Caenorhabditis elegans: one gene and its partner. The protein of the gene in region 1 purifies or fractionates together with the protein of each later gene. This does not show direct contact. Each region holds a gene or a part of one and is shown in the gene's direction. Other genes may lie near its edges. The genes, in order: pkc-3 and Y57G11C.22.

What was found.
Region 2: the proteins of pkc-3 (region 1) and Y57G11C.22 purify together in Caenorhabditis elegans (affinity purification with western blotting, with the first as the bait; one study listed by BioGRID). This does not show direct contact.

The regions. Positions count from the first base shown.
Region 1 is NC_003280.10:5,375,424-5,386,489, forward strand, and holds pkc-3 (Protein kinase C-like 3), read left to right. Parts: upstream 1-4,603; 5' UTR 4,604-4,604; coding exon 4,605-4,670; intron 4,671-5,077; coding exon 5,078-5,336; intron 5,337-5,613; coding exon 5,614-5,698; intron 5,699-5,747; coding exon 5,748-5,874; intron 5,875-6,036; coding exon 6,037-6,213; intron 6,214-6,884; coding exon 6,885-7,136; intron 7,137-7,220; coding exon 7,221-7,579; intron 7,580-7,625; coding exon 7,626-7,968; intron 7,969-8,083; coding exon 8,084-8,209; 3' UTR 8,210-8,746; downstream 8,747-11,066. Other genes in the region: algn-2 (Alpha-1,3/1,6-mannosyltransferase ALG2), read left to right, coding at 1-4, 422-955, 1,008-1,156, 1,204-1,563; Peroxiredoxin prdx-2, read left to right, coding at 3,000-3,017, 3,419-3,794, 3,859-4,070; ccpp-6 (Cytosolic carboxypeptidase 6), read right to left, coding at 8,781-8,953, 9,003-9,124, 9,505-9,629, 9,928-10,014, 10,293-10,404, 10,517-10,758, 10,812-11,025.
Region 2 is NC_003282.8:14,833,438-14,842,869, forward strand, and holds the start of Y57G11C.22 (PRKCA-binding protein), read left to right. Parts: upstream 1-3,773; coding exon 3,774-3,779; intron 3,780-3,880; exon of another isoform or gene 3,881-3,902; intron 3,903-4,375; exon of another isoform or gene 4,376-4,396; intron 4,397-4,398; coding exon 4,399-4,492; intron 4,493-4,560; exon of another isoform or gene 4,561-4,582; intron 4,583-6,872; coding exon of another isoform or gene 6,873-7,289; intron 7,290-7,403; coding exon of another isoform or gene 7,404-7,942; intron 7,943-8,409; coding exon of another isoform or gene 8,410-8,956; intron 8,957-9,321; coding exon of another isoform or gene 9,322-9,432.

The DNA.
Region 1 (11,066 bases):
TTGGGTGAGTCGTATTGCCTTAATGCAAAATTTCGCGTTTTTTTGTGCCAAAAATACGGTAACTGGTCTTGACACGACAAAGTTGTGTTAAAAGTTATTTGTTTAAATATTTAAAACTCAAAAATTTCAATAAAAACATTCATTTTTCAAAATTCGCAAAAAAAAAATTGAAAAAATTTCCAAATTCGTGTTTTGTTGATATATTTAGATATCACATAAATAAATATATTTTTATCGAAAAACTATAAAAATTGATGAAAATTCCGCGACAACAAAAGTTTGAAATTACAGTACTCATTAAAATTGCATGCAATTTTTCATTCAAAAAAAAGAAGTCACATACCGTATTTTTGTCGCAAAAATCTAAAAAATTTCGCGTCTCCGTAATAATACCAATCGTCAAGCTGATTTCATTTTTCAGATATTTGTACTGTGGTTCCATGGATACCCCGTTCAATTTTTGGAAAAGGTCATGCTCTTTGTGCATATCTTAAAATGATCATTGCTGCTCTCTACATTGTAATCTACCACAAAGATACTGACGTCATACTTTCGGATTCTGTATCTGCTAGTCAATTTGTTCTTCGTCATTTCTCAAAGGCAAAACTCGTATTCTATTGTCATTTCCCGGATCGACTTTTAACGAAACGTGATGGAAATCTGAAAGCTTTCTATAGAAATATTATTGATTGGATTGAAGAGTACACAACTGGACTTGCAGATGTCATTTGTGTCAATAGTAATTTTACAAAAAATGTGGTTCGTGAAACATTCAAGTCACTGGCATCTCAGGAGCTGACCGTACTCTATCCTTCGTTGAACACCGAGTTTTTCGATTCGATTGAAGCTTCGGATGATTTTGGTGAAGAAATTCCACGTGGTACCAAATATGTTTTCACCTCACTGAACCGATTTGAACGAAAGAAGAATATCGTTTTGGCTCTAGACGCATTCGGTAACTTTAGATTTTATATTTTTAAAAACCTGTGTAATAAATTATTTTGCAGAGAAATTGAAATCGAATCTTCCTGCCGACGAATTTTCGCAATGTCATCTTGTTATTGCTGGCGGATATGATTTGAAAAACCCAGAAAACATCGAACACTATGATGAACTTGTTGAACATATGAAGAAACTGGAGCTCCCAGCTGATCAGGTAATAAATACGAATTTAGCAAAGTATAAATTACTTTTAAATTTCAGATCGTATTTCTCCACTCACCATCTGACACTCAAAAAGTAAATCTCATTCGGAGAAGTCGTGCGGTACTTTACACGCCTGATAGAGAACATTTCGGAATTGTTCCAGTTGAAGCAATGTACTTGGGAACCCCAGTAATTGCTGTTAACACTGGAGGTCCCTGTGAATCGGTTCGGAATAATGAGACGGGATTTTTGGTTGATCAAACGGCCGAAGCGTTTGCTGAGAAAATGATTGATTTGATGAAAGATGAGGAAATGTATCGAAGAATGAGTGAGGAAGGTCCGAAATGGGTGCAAAAAGTGTTTGCATTTGAAGCATTTGCAAGAAAGCTCGACGAGATTATTCAATCTACGCTTTAATTAATGTTTTTTCTTGAAATTTGGGTTTTAAGCGTTTCGTTTTAGAATCGCCAGTGTATTTTTTGTGATAGTCCTATGTGCTTTAAATTATTTATTTTGAAAGGTTCAATAAATTATATTTTATGACCGAACACATTATATTCTCAGTTGTTATCTTATATATCCACACCGGAATGTTGAATATCTGACCATATATATTTAGAATGTTGCGGTAATTTTTTTGTTGCTGTGGAATTTTATTTTATTTTTATTTTTCATAGTTTCAACATTTTACAATTTATTGAAATTTATGGGTTTTAATTGTTATATTTGGCGTTTTTCGTTTACTTTTTCGATAAAAATAAATTCAGTTAAAAACTAAGTTATAACAATGAAAACACATAAATTTGAACAAATCGTAGAAAAATCACTACAAATTTGACAGATTTTATGGGTTCTATCGCGATTTATTGAAATTAACGTCTTTTAATTGTTTTATTTTAGTTTTTTAGATAAATACTGTTTTCAAACGAAAAACTTTGAAAAATCGATAAATCTCGCAGTACTCCTGAAAGGCACACACTCGTTTGTACTTAAGAAAAATTGTCGCGACGAGACCAACTGTCCAACTACGGTAGTTTTCAAAATACGCGGTTCACCGCAAAGTCAAATTGCGGACCTGAACATTTTTTTATTTTTCCCGCAAACTTTTTTTTTCAATTTTGCCTAAAGCGCTCGAATAAACATGAAAGTCTCGTGTTTCCTTCCATCCAGACCTCTCATTTTTCAATTTTAAAACTAAAAGCACTTTTTGACCTACTTTTTGTCGCAACCGCCAAAACTCGCTTCCAGAATTATTCCCTTTTTAGGATTTTCGACGCAACATCTCCAACCGGTTAGTTTTTTCGCAGATTTTCTCGCATTCGCGTAGTTTCACTTGTTTACTTCGTGGCGCCTCGTTTTTTTCCGCTCTCTCGTCTGACCACCTTCATATTTATTGATCTGCGCCTAGCGGCGCCCGTTGAAATACTCCACATTTTTTTGCAATCTTGTCTGCGAGTTCAGGTTATTTTCGACTTTTATGAAAGCTTGCTAGGAAGCCATAGCAACCGGGGAAGAATACGCTAGCCAAATGAGAGATAGAATCGATCAGCTAAATTTAAGATAAATAGTGAATTCGAATTCTAAGACCTGCTCGACCAGCTGAAATTCTAAAACTCTGCGCCAAGATGTATAGACAGGTAATAATATTTGAATTTTCTTTAAAAGTGACCTTGAACCCTAAGATTTTCGCTCCTCCTAAACGTTGTAGTCTGTTACTCCCTGCCGCGACAATTGTCAGCAAAAATCGCGTCACATGATGATGAAAGTTTGTGGCAATGTTATAAAAAGACTGACCTTATTTCGTTTCTTGGAAGATGCAAAGAAATGTTTATTAAAAATTGCAGTGTGAAATCATGTCTCTCGCTCCAAAGGTGCATTTCTTATTTGTTTTTTAAAAATATATTTGGTTACTTAGATATTAATTTAAATCACGGAAAAGTTTAAACCCCTCGATTTCTGTTATTTAACATGATCACTCACTTTTATAACAATTAATTTGGTTTTTCAAAGATGTTCCCAGAATGTTTTATTAGTTCTCATTTCGTCCTCCGATTTTTTTTCTTTCGTCGCTCTCCAATTTTGCCAATGTATTTCATTCCCATTAGATAAGCACCGCCCGTCACCTTATTCTCCTTCTTTTCACATTGCAAACAAATTCGTTGCCGTTGGGTTTCAATATCCTTTTCATTTTTTGTCGTATTGTTGTTCTTGTGATTGTGGTTGTTATTTTATCGCGGTATTATTTTTTTTTGTTAAACTAATTAATTTTTAGATGTCGAAAGCATTCATCGGAAAGCCAGCTCCACAATTCAAGACTCAAGCCGTCGTTGATGGCGAGTTCGTTGATGTTTCGCTCTCTGACTACAAGGGAAAATACGTTGTGCTCTTCTTCTACCCACTTGACTTCACTTTCGTGTGCCCAACCGAGATTATCGCCTTCTCTGACCGTGCTGAGGAGTTCAAGGCTATCAACACCGTTGTGCTCGCCGCTTCCACCGACTCTGTCTTCTCTCACTTGGCATGGATCAACCAGCCACGCAAGCACGGAGGACTCGGAGAGATGAACATTCCAGTTCTCGCTGACACCAACCACCAAATCTCCCGTGATTACGGAGTTCTCAAGGAGGACGAAGGAATTGCTTTCCGTGGTGAGTTATATTCTGAATGGAATCCTTCATATTTTCGTACTTTATTTGAAAAATAAAATTTCAGGACTCTTCATCATCGACCCATCACAAAACCTCCGTCAAATCACCATCAATGATCTTCCAGTCGGACGCTCTGTTGATGAGACTCTTCGTCTTGTTCAGGCCTTCCAGTTCGTCGAGAAGCACGGAGAGGTTTGCCCAGCTGGATGGACTCCAGGATCCGACACCATCAAGCCAGGAGTCAAAGAAAGCCAAGAGTACTTCAAGAAGCACTAAATGTCTTACATCTCTAATTTCCCCCGTATCCCTAGTATTTATCTGAACGGTTTATTTATACTCATTTTTCATTTTGATACTGAAATTCTGAAATTCATGAAATTGCTTGATAACCGTAAAATAAACTCGGTATTCGAATATAACTGTTTCTGTTCAGGAACAAACAATATGTGTCGAGACTCTCTCTCTGTTACTTTTTTGTCACTTTCCTAGACCGCCCGTGTTAGTCGGTGCGCGCGCATCGTCGTCCTGTACAGTGTTTGTGAGGGTCACCTGTGATTATTCATTTCTCTATGCCTCTTCAAAGCTGGGCCGCTCTCACTGACCTGTACACTTGGACAAAATGGGGGTGTTCGATAGAGCGTCAATGCATATATAGCTATAACAGTGTGTGTGTGTGTATGTGCATGTTTATTCATGAGTCATTTTTCCCTTTTTTACTCTAATACTGCCAACTCGTCACTGTTTCAGTTTCGCAGTTTTCGTTCAGAACTCCTTTTTTTGAACCGTTTTTAGTTCAATTTTTATTTCAGAATGTCGTCTCCGACATCATTAGAGGAGGACGGAGATATTAAGCTAAAAACGAGGTTTCAAGGACAGGTGAGATATGAAAAGTGGCTTTTGAAATGCTCAAAAATCGAGAAATACCCTAAAAATGAATTTTTCGTTGCAGTGAGAATGTGTAAATCATTTCGCCGTCAATGCGAAATTTTAGTTTGTCAAAGCTTTAAAAATTCGTAACAGAGAGAAAATTCCAGACAAAAAATAGAAAAAGACCGTGATAACCGAATAAAACTGTAAAAAATTAATTTTTCTGAACTTTTAATGATTTGATTAATAGTGTTTAAAACTTAAAAAGCTCTTTTCCGGCTAAAATTAAAAAAAAACAACCACTGATTTTTTAAAAATTCTGCAAAATTGAAAAATAATTTTTGTTACTGTATAACTTTTTTTTTTTAATCTGAAAAATTCCAGACTCCCAAATTTTAATAAAAATTAAATTCCAGGTAGTAGTACTCTATGCTCGACCACCGCTCATTCTCGATGACTTTTTTGCACTTTTGAAAGATGCTTGTAAACAACACAAAAAACAAGATATTACTGTAAAATGGATTGATGAAGATGGAGATCCAATCTCAATAGACTCACAAATGGAACTTGATGAAGCAGTTCGATGTTTGAATTCTAGTCAAGAAGCCGAGTTGAACATTCACGTTTTTGTTGGAAAACCAGAGCTGCCCGGGCTTCCGTGTCAAGGAGAAGACAGTAAGTATCATGAAGCTATCAGAAAAATTATTTAGAATTTCGAAAAAATGTGCGCCTTCAAAGAATACTGTAAAGCGGAATTTCTATCAATTTTTATAAAAAGATTGAAATGAAACAATTAGAAACACATAAATTTTGGAATTTTGGAAAATAGATCAAACTTCCGCAGTTTGAAACTACAGTAATCTTTAAAGGCACACAATTTCTCGCGTTTAACAAGAAATTTGTCGGAGGAAAAATCGGAAATTTTCGAGTCTGAGAAATGTTTTTTTTCCAGAAACTGTATATCGAAGAGGTGCTCGACGATGGAAGAAAATTTATCTGTACAATGGGCATCGATTCCAAGCGAAACGGCTGAATCGGTAGGTTTTTTTTTCTGATTTACAGCCTCCGGAGCTTCTTTCTTTTCAGCCGTATTCAATGCTTTATTTGTCATGACTACATATGGGGAATTGGACGGCAAGGCTTTCGATGTGTGGATTGTCGTTTATGCGTGCACAAAAAATGCCATCGGCATGTGCGAACGCATTGTGGTCAGGTAATTCTTTTTTTTTGTAGCGAGGATAGCTTCTAAATTATTCCAAAATTTTGAAACTAAGACCTCCCAGACTTCTGTTTTTCAATTTTTACAAATTTCTGTGCAAAACAGGTTTAAAGCTTAAATTTTTAAATTCCTCATAAAAATCTAAATCATTTTCAGGCTCTCCAAGGCCCGAATATTATCCCAATGGCTCCTGCAAGTGGTTCTCTAAAGGGTGCTCGATCGAATACAAGCTCATCTACAACGCGGTCGGGTGGAGGAATTGATAACGGAGCATTCCACGAGCACGAAATCGAATCACCCGGATCCACGAGTCATGATGCTAGCAGAGCTATGGTAAGCTTTTGAAGTTGGAGCCAAAATTTGAAATAAAATATATTTGAAATTTGATATAAATATCTTTGTCTTCACGTCTCCGAGGGATCGTAATAAATTTAATTTAATATTCAGAAAAGTTAATTTTTTTTGAAATTTATTAGTTTATTTCCAAAAAAACATAACTTTTATTTAAATAAAACCATCTGAAAAGTCTCAGATTTACAATAGCTGAAAATGAAATAACTCTTGTTAAAAAAAACAATTTAAATTGGAAAGTCTTTGAAATAGTGGTAGTTAATTGAAATATTTAATTAAGTTTAATCCAAAGTTCAATTAAATATTAGGTTCTTCCTGTTGCAATTTCAATTTCAAATTTCTAGATACGTGATATATGTAACTCTTGAAAAACATTCTAGATTTCTAGACTCAACTACATTTTTTTGTTTTTTTTTGGATGAACAAGTTTTTGTAGTTTCACTCTTTCTCTTGCTCTCAAAATTTTTATTCATTTCCAACCACAATTCCCTTCCTCGCTGCGAATTCTGATTTCTTCCTGATATCAAAATATTTTAATATTTCAACGTATGGCACTTTTCTGTCAGTGCTTCCCAGTATCAGATAAAAAGAAACGGCGAAAAGTATTTTTAAAGTTACATAGATTCAAATACTAAAATTTTTTAATATTTCAGAATGGAAATGGGTCGTCAAAATGGGCAGTTTCTCTGAACGATTTCCGTCTTTTAACAGTTATTGGACGTGGATCTTATGCAAAAGTTGTGCAAGCAGAACATGTTTCAACTCGTCAAATTTACGCGATAAAAATTATCAAAAAGGAGATGTTCAATGAAGATGAAGATATCGATTGGGTACAGACGGAGAAGTCAGTATTCGAAGCAGCGTCAAATTATCCATTCCTTGTTGGATTACATTCTTGCTTCCAGGTTGGTAACTTTCTTTTTCTTCGATTTTTTCAAATCTCAAATTTTCGCATTAAAAATTTTAAACCAAAATTTTGATAATTTCAGACCGAATCCCGCCTGTTCTTTGTCATCGAATTCGTTCCTGGAGGTGATCTGATGTTCCACATGCAACAGCAACGGAAGCTTCCAGAAGAGCACGCTCGATTCTATTCGGGTGAAATAATTCTTGCTCTTCATTTCCTTCATTCTCGCGGAATCATTTATCGTGATCTCAAATTGGACAATGTTCTGATTGACGCTGAAGGACACATAAAACTGACAGATTATGGAATGTGTAAAGAGAATATTAAGGATGGAGATTTAACTTCAACTTTCTGTGGAACACCCAATTATATTGCACCAGAAATATTGAGAGGTGATGAATATGGATTCAGTGTTGATTGGTGGGCATTGGGAGTGTTAATGTAAGCCTTTTTTGGTTGAACATTTATTTTATTTAAATCGTTTTAGGTTTGAAATGATGGCTGGTCGATCTCCATTCGATATTGTTGGAATGCAGAATTCCGAGGAAAATACAGAAGATTATCTTTTCCAAATCATTCTTGAACGACAGATTCGAATCCCTAGATCACTTTCTGTACGGGCTTCTGGTATTCTAAAGGGATTCCTGAACAAGGATCCAACAGAACGTCTGGGATGTAAGCTTGACATTAATGAAGGTCTTCGTGATATGAAAGAACATCAATTCTTCCGTGGATTCATTGATTGGGAAGCTTTGGAACAGAAGGCTGTCGCACCTCCATATCATCCAGCTGTGGAAAGTGATCGCGATTTGACACACTTTGATCATCAGGTAATTTTAATTTCTTCAGAACTTAACTTTAAAAAAAAATTAGTTTTTGTTTACTAATAAATTATTGAATCAAAATATTTTAAAACTAATTCAAAATGCTTGTTTTTTTTTTCAGTTCACCGACGAACTTCCACAATTATCACCTGACAATCCAGATGTTATTGCACGAATTGATCAATCAGAATTTGATGGATTTGAATACGTGAATCCTCTACAAATGAGTCGGGAAGATTCAGTCTGATTCCCCCACCATCCCCCGAGTCCCAAATATTTATTTTCTTCGGTATACTTTTTTGTGATTTTTATTATTATTCTCGAATCCCATCTCCTTCGCCCACTGTCTTATACGATACTATGACACACTAACTCGTGGCATAATCAGTATCCTAACTTATTTTCTTTTTCTCAACATCTGTTATACATTTTCTCGCAACAATCACTTCTACTCGTCTTGTGGTATCTTACAATCCCGAAAAGGTTGTGATTTTTTTTGGTTTCTGTTAAAATCTAGACTATTCATACTTGCTAGGAATACCTAATGCTTGATGACCTCCCCTTCTAAATACACCTTCTTGTTACTTTTCTTGTCAGCTCATTCATTTCCCTGAAATATATGTAAAATTGCGGCGAAGACTACGATCAATGTAGTCTCTTCGCCATCTGACACTTCTTTTGTGCCACGTGTGGAACTCGATTTAACTTCAATTCAATTTACATGTTCTTCCATTTGACCACTTCCCTTACTTATTTATTGACAAACAAAAAAAAATTGCATTTCAATGGTCTTTATCAGTTCTAATGTGGGCGCCAATTCATTTCATCATCACAGTCTGAATCACCTTCCTCGCTTGCTTTTTCAAAGTTTTCTGGGCGCGGGCGGGTAGAAAAGTCTTAAAGGGACGTTCGAGCACAATCTCTCGTAGTCCACAGTCGGCTTCATAGAAGTTGAGAAGTGCTCTGCAAAATGCCTCGCCGAGAGCTTCATCTGAAAATTGAACCAAGTTACAGTAGGAAATCACTGAAAAAAAACCTACATTTATATTGAAGATATGGCGTACAATGTTGTATTCCATTTCCAGAAGAGTCTGTATGGCGATAAGAGAAGAATGATACTTCAAGTGTATAGCAAAGGCAGGAAAGTAGATCTCCCATCGTTCTGAAAAGTTATGAAGGGTCCTGACACGACTGGCATTTTTCTGCTACAGTAACCCAGCGTGTTTTTCTCAACTCCGTGTTTCCCAATGTATTCATTTTGAAAATATGCATATATTTTCTAGAAACATCATTATAAAACCACACAAAATATTGAGAAAATGTTGCAAAATAGAGATTGAAAGTAAAAGGTACTGTTGCTGGAAATGTTCACTCACGCCAGGACCCACAGTCGTGTTTTTGCACGCAGATACTACGGATGACCATGTGAGAAATTACTAGCTATTGCAAAATTCATATCGTGGCAAGACCCATCAAATTAAAATCACGACTATTCGAAATCCATAATAAATTATTCGTTCCCTTCCATATAAAAAATCTCACCTTCTGCCAGTACCAGCCTTCTCCACATCCGTGTTGAATTGAGTGAACTCGAGCGAATAATCTTCGGAAAGATCTGCCAGCAAATGCGGAAGCCATAACTGCCGGAAAGTCGATTTTTCTTCGACCGAAAATTAGAAAAAAATGTTTCAGAAAATTTAAATTTTGTGGTCATTGCAAAGTTGAGCGAAACTATGAAAAGATTAGGGTTTAAAATTGTGAAATGCTGTAGATAACTGCTAAGTTTCGGTAGTATCAAGACCGGGTACTTTGTTTAAAATCGCTAAGTTCTTCAATCGGCTAATATCGGGTCTCGCCACGGACAAAATATTTTCAATAGTTGCTGTACCCCTTCAAGAAATACAGTAACTCATAACTGATTCTTGAAGTTGCCCGAACCAATTCACAAAAAAATTCACAACTTACAGCTGACATATTCACATTTCCATACAAAAAACAATTTGGCTTCTGAGAATGGGCATGTAGATCAACGTAGATTACAGTTTGGGCTTGCTGAAATATTCAAGAACAGATCCTAAAACTTCTACAAATTATTGATTCATTTATTCCTAAAATTGACACATAACAGTGAGCATGGCAACTTTCCCACAATGTTTCAATTTAACCATAGTCTACAGTAATCTAGGATTTTGATCGCTTCGAGATACAGTCAACTTGAATGTATCATGGGAATTGCAAAAAAAAATTGATGAAAATGCTCAAAAGTCCTACAAAACACTGAATATGTATATCGATAAATTCCCAATATCGATAAATTTAACAGCTCTCACCGGATTATTATCATATTGCGTCAGTAAATTCTTCACAGCATAAATTGAAGGATGAGCCCAATCTGAAGGGGTTCTCCACATTCTATTCAAGTCATGACCCATTAGAGAACATCTGAAATGACCTTCTGATAAGGTAGGCACTGTAGGTAGGTACGCCTTTATGCCTGGGCCGAGAGGTTGTTGGTGACGAGGAATGCCTACCTAGGCTGTTTGCAAAAAGTTACCTATAATTTCCGAGAAAAACGCCATCTGGATTAAGCATTGGAATAATTTTGAAACAATAAACTTTTCTCAACTTCTGTGCTCGATCATCTTTGGAAACAAGAAATTCAATAATTCCATGCATAACATGACTACTCGGTGACTCTCCAGGATGAACTCGCGCAGTTAGAAAAATCATTTTCTTGGATCCTTGGAATGTGTCAGGTGTTGCATCAATTGTTATCAAGTCGACACGACGTTTTTGCTGAATTATTTTCCAAAAAGTTTCAGACTATTCCATGAATATTTCCAATTTACCACAGTTTGAACCAAAAGATCTCTATGAAAAAATGGGTATTTTCTGGATTCCAACTCATTCAACCATATCTGCATTTGTCCATAAGTATACGGTATACAGTATGCAAATTGAACAGGATCTGGTGATTCAAATATGAAAGCAAATGAAAGAATCCAACGATCATTGTGTTGGGAACTACGGTAGTAGTAGATATGGCGAGATGGGATTCGAGCCCTAAAATGTTGAAATGGCTCTTTAAAATAGAAAATCGAGGG
Region 2 (9,432 bases), on another chromosome or scaffold:
ATTTCACTAGAAACAAAAAAAAATTAAAAAGTTCTCAAAACCATTGGTTTCTCGGAAAAGATTTCTCCAATAAAGCTATAACAAATTCACTAATACAATATTAACAAGAAATACAAATCTAAAAAGTCGTAAAAAAGACATAAAACCGAACATTTCGACATGTTTGCTCTTTCTCTATTCCTCTTAGAACTGTGTGAATCGAGTGAGGGAAAATAGAGGAGAACTTGTCCGCAAAGCAGTGGTCGTACTTGTCAAAAGAGGGGGACACACTCACTCTTTTCAATTCACAACTACAATGACCTTCACCACGGTGACCGAGCATGAAAATGACCCGTAGAGAGGGGGAAAAGAGAAAGGGAACGGAAGAATTATGCAAAGGAATTGGAATGAGGGGCAGGACTAAACATAATTCTTATGTTTCAAATATACTAAGGTGGTGAAACAGTAAAATTTTTTTTAAAAAAATGTATTGAAAATTGAGGTTCCCATGACAGGCACCTTTTTCTATTCATACAAATAGAAAAAGGTACAAGATCCATTAAAAAGATTCGCTTCAACTTAAAAAAAACAATTGGTTTGAATTTGTTAACAATTTGAAAGTGAAGAATTTTCATCTAGCAATTATGTACAGACAAAAATACAATTTGAAGGGATTTTGCGAAAACGCGAAAAATATTTGATGGCTCAGTTTTGTCATTTGTATGGAAAATTAAAAAAAAGCTCAATGTAAATCAATGCGAAGTTTTTGAAGATGGAAAAAAATCAAAGCGAATAAAAATTTTGGCATCTCTATTTGTGAACTTTGTGTAAGGGTTAAAATATTTTGAGAGTTTTCTGGAATTAAAAAGAAAACTCGCAGAACTTTTTTTTTTAATTTAAAAATTTACTCAAAAAATGTACAGTTTCTGTGAAAATTACACATTTTTTTTGTGAAAACAAGTTCAGTTTTCCTTAAAATAATTAAAAACCAAATCCCATAATAATTAAATGTAATAATAATGTTTCAAATATATATATAAAAAATGAAACAGTAAAATTTTTTGAACATTGCCGAAAAAAAACTGAGTTGAAAATTGATTTTCACATATTAGGCAGGCGCGAAAGATGCCTACGTACTTGCCTACCTACCAATTTATTTAATTTATTTCTGAACTGCAGTATTTTGCGTTAGATTTACTCATTTGTAGTGTGGAGTTTGAAAAAAAGAACCTAAAAAAATGAAAAATTTAACTGTCATCAGAACGAAAAAATTGAATTTGTTGGAGTTTGTTAAAACTATCAAGCTGAAGAATTTTTTTGCTAATAAATTTTAAAAAACTATTTTTAATTGAAAATGGAAGTATTTTTATTGTAGTCAATATAATGCTGAGAACAATTTGAAATTTTCTGGTGCCAATATAAAAACTCAATGAGCTTGTAAGAGTTCAAAATTTCCTGAAAAATTTACTAGTATGGTTCCGAATGATTGGTTAGATTTTTTCACAATCTTCGTGCTTCCTGGCCGTTTTTTTAAGAAGTGAGGGAAATTTTGATGACTCAGTTTTGTAACTTTTAGAGGAAATTGTTCATTTTTTTGCTTTGATGCTCAAATCTAAAATAATCCGAAAATTATTAAAAACAAAAAATGAGAACTCAGGAGCTATTAAAAGTTATTTGCACATTTTTTTATGAACTTTGTGAATGTGTAAAAGTTTCGATATTTTTTTTTTGGAATTGAAAAATAATCGGAGAATCACAATTTGCAAACTTTAATATATTTTTTAATAATATGTTTTCCACTATAGACTCTGTGAAACATTAGAGAATTTTTAGTGAAAATAATGATCAGTTTCAATAAGTTCTTAATCTCATTGAGATGAATTTTATTGATCTTTTAGAATACTGTGGAAATGTAGCTTATAATAAGTCTAGTTCAATAAGAATGAAGCCTTATTATAAGCTACATTTTCGTGTAGAAATTTTAAAAATGTTTAATATTCATATTTGAATTTGTTAAAATATGTGTTTCAAATTAAATATCCGTAATTTGGAGGGTTTTCAATGACGTTTTTCGACATTTTTGCCGGTTAACTCCAGCCATTTTGTTTTTTGTGCGAAGTAAGGAAAACTTTCATTTCGATTCAATAGAATTAAATTCCGACAATGTTATTTTTTTGTTTCAGTCAATTTGATTCGGTTTTTGTCAAAGTGTTACAATTTGCAGTTTTTATTTTGTTTTTTTTCAATTAGGCATATGCTTTGTCCAGTATAACTCCTGTGAAACATTTGTGAATTTGTAGAAAAAATAATGTCCCGTTTCAATAAGTTTTCAAAGGTATCTCTTCGAGATGAATTTTATTATTCCGCTAGGAATCAGTGGATATGTAGCCCATAATAATTCTGTCAACTTTAATTCCAATTCAGTTATTGTCAAAATATTAATTGCAGACAATTTTGTTATGCTTTCGGTTTAATACTATTTTGGTTCTTAAATCGAACAACTTTGGTTTTCCAACTTCATATAACAATTTAGAGATTTTTTTTTCTGAAAACTAAGAAAAAGTTACACATTTCCTATTTTCAAGTTATTTTTTCAGTTATTTTCACTAACTAGTTAACTGATCACAAAAAACTTTGTGGAAAATATTCAAAACCTTAGTGACAATAATGTTCTGTTTCACGAAGTCCTTAAAAGTATCTTGTAACGGTGAACTTTAGTTCAAAGTTTCTCTGTTTGCGGCAATATATAAATTTCAAGAAATTTTACTATGTTTCTAGCTCAACACATTTTCAGAGTCTATAAAAAATGAAAACATTTTATTAATTTTTTTCCTGTTTCAGTGAGTTTTTAAAAAAAATTACCTTCTGTAGTTTCTAATCGGTTCCATGCTGCAATTTTAACCTCAACTTTGGAAAACTGGTATTAGTGTAGATTTACAAAGTTCTCGTTTTTTTTAAATTTTGGTTTAAAAAACGGGAGTTTTCCTGGAATTTACAAGGAAAATTGCAGAATCTGAATTCATTGAGATTTTTTTTACACTTACGCCGAAAATGTATAAACTCTGTGAAAAGGTTGCGAATTTTTAGTGAAAATATTGTTCTGTTTCAACAAGTTTTTAAAAGCATCTCGCAAAAAATTAATGTAGTTAATGAGCGTTAAATATGTATATCGTATTCCCTTTATCAATTTGTATTCCTGCGACAAATTTCCGTCAAAGAGAAATTTGTCTAGTTGGTAGTTTGTAGGATATAGTTTGTAACTGAAAATTTTAATTGCAGTTCAGTCTTTTGCCAAATATAAATTTAGTTATGTTTCTGGTTTAATACAATCTCAGAATCTCAGTGAAAAATAGTTCATCAATTTGTTTTTTCTCTGTTTCAGCAAGGAGTTTTAAATCCAGGCATTTCTTCTGTAGTTGATAATTTTTTTGAAGATTTACGAAATTTTCGTTTTCATTAGTGGTCGCTTTTTAGACATGCAGACATTTTGAGGATTCATGCACGGCCTACAATATATTTTCTCAAGCTTCCCAAGGCCTCTCTTGTCGTCTTAAATTCTGCCACTAACCCCATTTTGAATCAAATGCACATTGAGCTCATCTTCCATGCATCTCCTCCCTTCTCCTCTCATTCTCCATTTTCAGTGTGCATGATTGTCTGCGTCTCCCGCTTCTCTACACTCTCTCGTAGTCTCTACATCTCTCCGTCTCTGTGCTCTTTTTGCTCGTGAAGCTTTTAGTACTGCTAGAAGGAGTGAAGGAGTGACAATCGATTTTAAAGCAGAAAAATTAATTATGGATGTAAGTATTTTTTTTCAATTGTTTGTGTAGTTTGAAATTGAGCTAAAAAAACTGGAATGTTTCATGTTTTTATTAAAAAAGAACAATAAAAATCATAACTATTATAGTTACCATCAGAGGTGGGCGGATATTTTTTTCTGATATTTTCTAATAATGAATTTATCAATAAGTATTGATGTAGTTATTCTGGAAGAAATGTATCCGAACAAAAGAGTAACTATTAAGAAACATTTTAATATGATAAAACCTAGAAAAATTCTACAAGTTTTCTGTATAAACGATATGCAAGTCCATTATCCGATATCCGTAATATCCGTAATATCCGATATCCGATGTTGCTCGGCTAATAAGTTTTAAGGTCTCGGTAAGGAAAACTTGTAGAATTTTTCTAGGTTTTATCATATTAAAATGTTGCTTAATAGTTACTCTTTGGTTTGGATACATTTCTTCCAGAATAACTACATCAATACTTATTGATAAATTCATTATTAGAAAATATCCGAAAAAATATCCGCCCACCTCTGGTTACCATAATCGTGAAAAAACTTACTGTTTCACTTTCTAACAAATAATTTGTAGGTTTTCAAATTAATTATTGTTTTTTAACCATATTTTACAGTTCCAAATCGAAGAAGACCGGCTCGGAATGAGAATTCAATCGGAGACAATTGAGTTGACTAAAGATGAAAAAGGTGTCGTCGGAATTTCAATTGGTTTGTTCATTTTTTTCTCTGATGCTTGTATATAAATGGAAACCAACTCAAAATAATTTTTTAATAATAACTCGATAATGTTTAAGTGAATAGTTTGGTTTTTGAAACACTTCATTTAAAAACTACTAGAAACAGAAAAAAATGAAAAAAAAATGTTTTTCAAACAATTTGAAATATTACGCTAGTAGTGGTAGAGTGTACAATTTACCATTCCTTGGTTTTTTTTTACCGTCTGACCAAGAATAGTGTGTGAAACGAGAGATTTAGAGAAAGACGAGAGAGTGAGAGATTTGGTTATAGTAAGAAAGAATCGATTTTTAAATAGTGTGCGTTTTTGAGAGATTTAGAGAAAGAGACTGGTAAGACATTTTTGATGTTCTTGGTTCATTCAACCAGGGGACGGGTTCGAACCCAGGACACTATTCGTCTAAAACAGATGCCATACCAATACACTATAGACGTAGTCGCAAACCCAGTAGCATTTGACTCTTTTCTATTTCGAAACATCTGCCGTTTAGGAGACGTCTTTTTCCCAAACGCGATTTGAATGAATGCAAGCGTTACCGAGATTGATGAAGGAAGGAGGCCCCCCTCCCCGCGCCCCTGGGGGTTTCAAGAGTAAAAGTTGATGAACAAGTTTTTTCAATTTACCTGTGCTTTTGAAAAATGATGCATTCAAAGCTATTTGAAGTTTTTCGATAAAGGGTTCTCCACCCGTTATCGAAAACTTTAAAGAGCATTCCCTACAAAAAACATGTTTTACATTTTTTATTATTTATTCAATTACAGATAAGGATAAGTATTAGTGTTACATGCATTACTAACAATTCAAACATTATTATACAATCAATCAAATTTTATAATTTCCAATATTCTTTCGGCATTTCTTACAAACGTCAATTTTCAAAGTTGACCCATCATATTGTGCACCGTCCTGACAATCTGAACAAAACAGGATAGCGGCAAGTGGTTCCATTTTTCGTAAAGCAAACTGGGGTTCCGTTGTCTTGGCAGCCGTGTGTGTCGTTTTAAAAGTTTTCACATTTTTCTTTCCCTTCTTCTCCGACATAGGAATATCAGAAACATTTGATGGCAAAAACTCTGGTTCCTGAGACGAGTTTTGAAGAGTTTCAAAATTCCAAAAGACGTTCGCAGGTGAAGGATCAGGATAAGAAAAGTTTGAGAATGAGGACATTATCAAAAAAAGTCACTACGTACAACAAAAAATTGAGCACAAATGAAGATTGAATTCAGAAAAGTGGGCGGCTCTTGAAATTGGCATGGACAAATCATAAAGTTAATACTCCTGATGCATCAATCCAAGAGTCAAATTCGGCACCATATCCGTCCCAACGAACGAGGTGCTGTTTCTTTCCGCGTACTGTACGAGTGGCTAAAATCTTTTCAATTCGATACTGAGCGTCTGGTTTATATGTGCATTTAGTCAGTTCTCGAGTGTAGAATATTCCGGCAATTTTTTCTCCATTAGTGTCTACTATATTGTAGGTAACTGGTTTCCTTGCAAACACTTTGGAAATTACATAAACTTCTGTAGTCCATCCTTGTTCGTAGCCCTTGTCAAATTGTCCTCGTTTTGCAGCGATTCTGACGTGATCTCCTACTCTGAATTTGATTTTAACGCTGTCTACAGGCATCGGAGTTGAAAAATCTCCCCGCTCAACGTCTACTGGTTTTTTACCAATTCCACGATTAACGCTATTGTTGATACCATTCACAACTTGTTGTAAAACGTCCACATAACGTCGGTTGTACTTTTGAGTCATGTACTTTGCCAATCGAGTTTTCAGAGTCCTGTTTGCCCTCTCCACAATTGCACACTTTATTTCGCTTTTGGGTGAAAATAGATTCACAAAATTCTTGGCCAACAACTCTTTGACATGCGAGTTGTAAAATTCCTTTCCATCATCACTGTAAATTGTCATTGGTGTGACACCAATTTCTTTAAAAATGTCTTGTAGAGCTAGAGCCACTTCTTGTCCTTTTTTAGACTTTAACGTTTTTACAAAAAGCCGTCGAGAGTAAATATCTATACAGACTAGTAGAAAGGTTACTCCGTCGTTTTCCTTCTTGTACCGGGACATATCTGCGAGATCAATTTGAAGAGATGCATAAAGACCAGGTGAGACTGTTTTCCGACGCGGGAATCGCGATTGATTCGGGCGGTGAAGCGTAAAAGATTCCAAATCTTCGAGAACCTTTTCGACTTGTTCATACTTTAACGACTTGTATTTTGGCTTCAAATATTTGTAAACGTTTTTTACAGATGAATAGGCGCAAGGTAGTTTTTCGTCTGTATATGCTTCTTTTATGGCAGACTTCATAATAAAAATTTTAAAAATACAACATTTATATACAGATTTTAAAATTTCCATAATCTACAATAAACTCGTGAACCTGGAGGTGGAGCTGAACCAGATCCGTGAAGAACGCGCCTTTTGGCAGCAGGGATATTTGTACCATTATCTGGGATGGTTGAAGAAATGTTGCGTTTCAAGTTTTGCATCTTATAAATTTTGTTTGGCCTCACTCTACTCATATTCTTTCTTCTTTTCAAATCAAATTTCTGCCTCTTGTTTAAGTTTTTTGTGGAATCCTGTTGAAATGGTCTTTTTTTAATGGAAATCTCAGTGTTTTGTGGCGTCTCATCAACCATCGGCTCTTCATCTTCATCTTCCTCATCCAGCTGCAATTTATAAAGTTTTCGCGGTTTCACGTTATTCATGCTCTTTCCTCTCTTGAGATCAAACTTTTGCCTCTTGTTTGAAGTGGCGTATTGCTGAAACGATCGTTTTTTAATTGAAACTGGTGTAATTTCCACAGTTTTTTCCTCAGGTTTCCTCGGTGGAGCGGCTTGCATATCTTGATCGGGTTCTTCAATCTTCACTTTCACCACACTCTTCTTTTCCTTTTTACCCAAAGGTCTACTGAGAGTTCCGTCTTTCTTTTGTTTCTTGGACTTTTTTATTTTTCCGGGTGCATGTTTTTGGGGTTCCATAAAAAGTTCATTTACATTTTGCTCCATATTTATTTCTGGAATTTTTTCGTATTCCATATGATAATCCTCATCCTCGGGCTCTTCTTTGATGTAAACGTTTTTGCGGGGCTTTAAATGATTTATTCCATCATTGTGGTACGTCACGTCATCAAACAATTGTTCATTTTCCGCTTTATAAACAGGAGGACTTTCATAATATTTTTCTTGATATGATTCTCTCTTTTCAGGAATGACTTCATATTTTAAATTACGTCTCTCTAGCTTCACATTTCTTTTTTGATTGTCATTCTGTTGTTGTAAATTTTCTTGAATAACATCAAATAATTCTTCAGTGACAATTGGTAGTTCAGGGTGGTTACGAATTCGATATAGTACATCTTGATAAAAACGGCATTTTGTAGTTGGATCAACATCTGATGCGGATAGGATATTTTCTAAAAAACGTTTGGCAGATTCATATTCAGACCCATTCTCGTAGGGTATCATGTGATATTTGCGAATCAACTTCATTTCCAGAGATTTGTCGCAATAAGTGAAGGAATAACAAGCGTAGCCAATTGCTTTTTTGAAAGCTTAAATAGTAATTTCCTTGCATTGTTGACATCATTGGTACGTGAAATGGTAATTAGTTGATCGTGTATCGGCTGCAAAATTTGATATTCTGCCAGATTTAATGGTATATTTTTTTGAATTTAACATGTTGTACACAATTTCAACTAGAATATTTATTTCTTTGCTCGAAGCATCTCGAATAGCAATACGATTACGTTTCAAAACAGAATGCAAGAAATCAGTGTGAACAATTAAATGGGCAGCCATTTGTTAGCAAAAGATCAAAATACAATCATTTATATAGGCACATGTGCTATCGGGTATTCGTTTGTAAAGTTTGATAAAATACGCATAGTAGGGAGAGATAGGGGATCATTATTAATTAACAGGGCCTGATATGGTTTCGACATTACATCCTGGTATGCTTCGAAGGCTCCTCTCCATTTGTCTCCAAATTGCTGCATTAGTAGGTGTTTGATTTGAGAGGCGTCCGACAAGTTCCGCATCAAAATAATGTAGGTGCTATTGTTTCGGGTTATTGGAGGGAGTGTAAACGCAGACTGGACCAAATTGAAAATTGCGCAATTGAGATGATGAGCATAAAGACAAAACAAGTCATTGAGCAGATGGAGGGATTTTTTATCTCGTGCAAAAAAGTTCATCAAATCGTCGCAAACTAGAATATTATTCGGATGTTTGTGTTGCTTTAAAAGATCAACGTCTGGTAATCCTTCGATTGCATGAAAGTTGTGCAAGTGTCTTGGTATACTGGGTGTATCTAAGCCATAAAACCAAAATATATTGTCAATTGGTTTTTCAAACGTCTCAGAACAATTTTCCAAAATTTTTCTCAATAGTGTAGTTTTACCAGATTGTGTGGCGCCAATGATTGAAGTCTGAGATGGAAAACGAAATTGAAATCCTAGTCGCGATGACGATCCGTTTGATCGAGGCATGGTGAGAGGTGTGGTGTGGCGTGGTGTGGTGGAAATTGAAAATGTCAGTATATTTATAGTGAGCAATGAGGCTGTTGGCGGTCGTGGTCCTGGTCCTGGTCGAGTGGTATTGAAACTTGCGATTTCCGACGATATACTCGAGCAGACTGGCGTCCGCATTGTTCCAAAACCAAGACGGTTATTGATCCAATTATGAAAAATATTAGCGAAATTATATTAGAATAATCTTCCTTATCAAGTTTAAGAGTAGCCACGTAATCTGGAGCAGCATAAATTGGTAATCTGGAATAGGATCTAGGATCCACCTGTGCCAGCACTTTATTGTTGTATTCTATTGTTCCATTTTGAAGTAGTACGGTGAAAACTCCGTCGGCAACGTTAAAATCGCGAACATTTGAAATTGATTTCAATGTGAT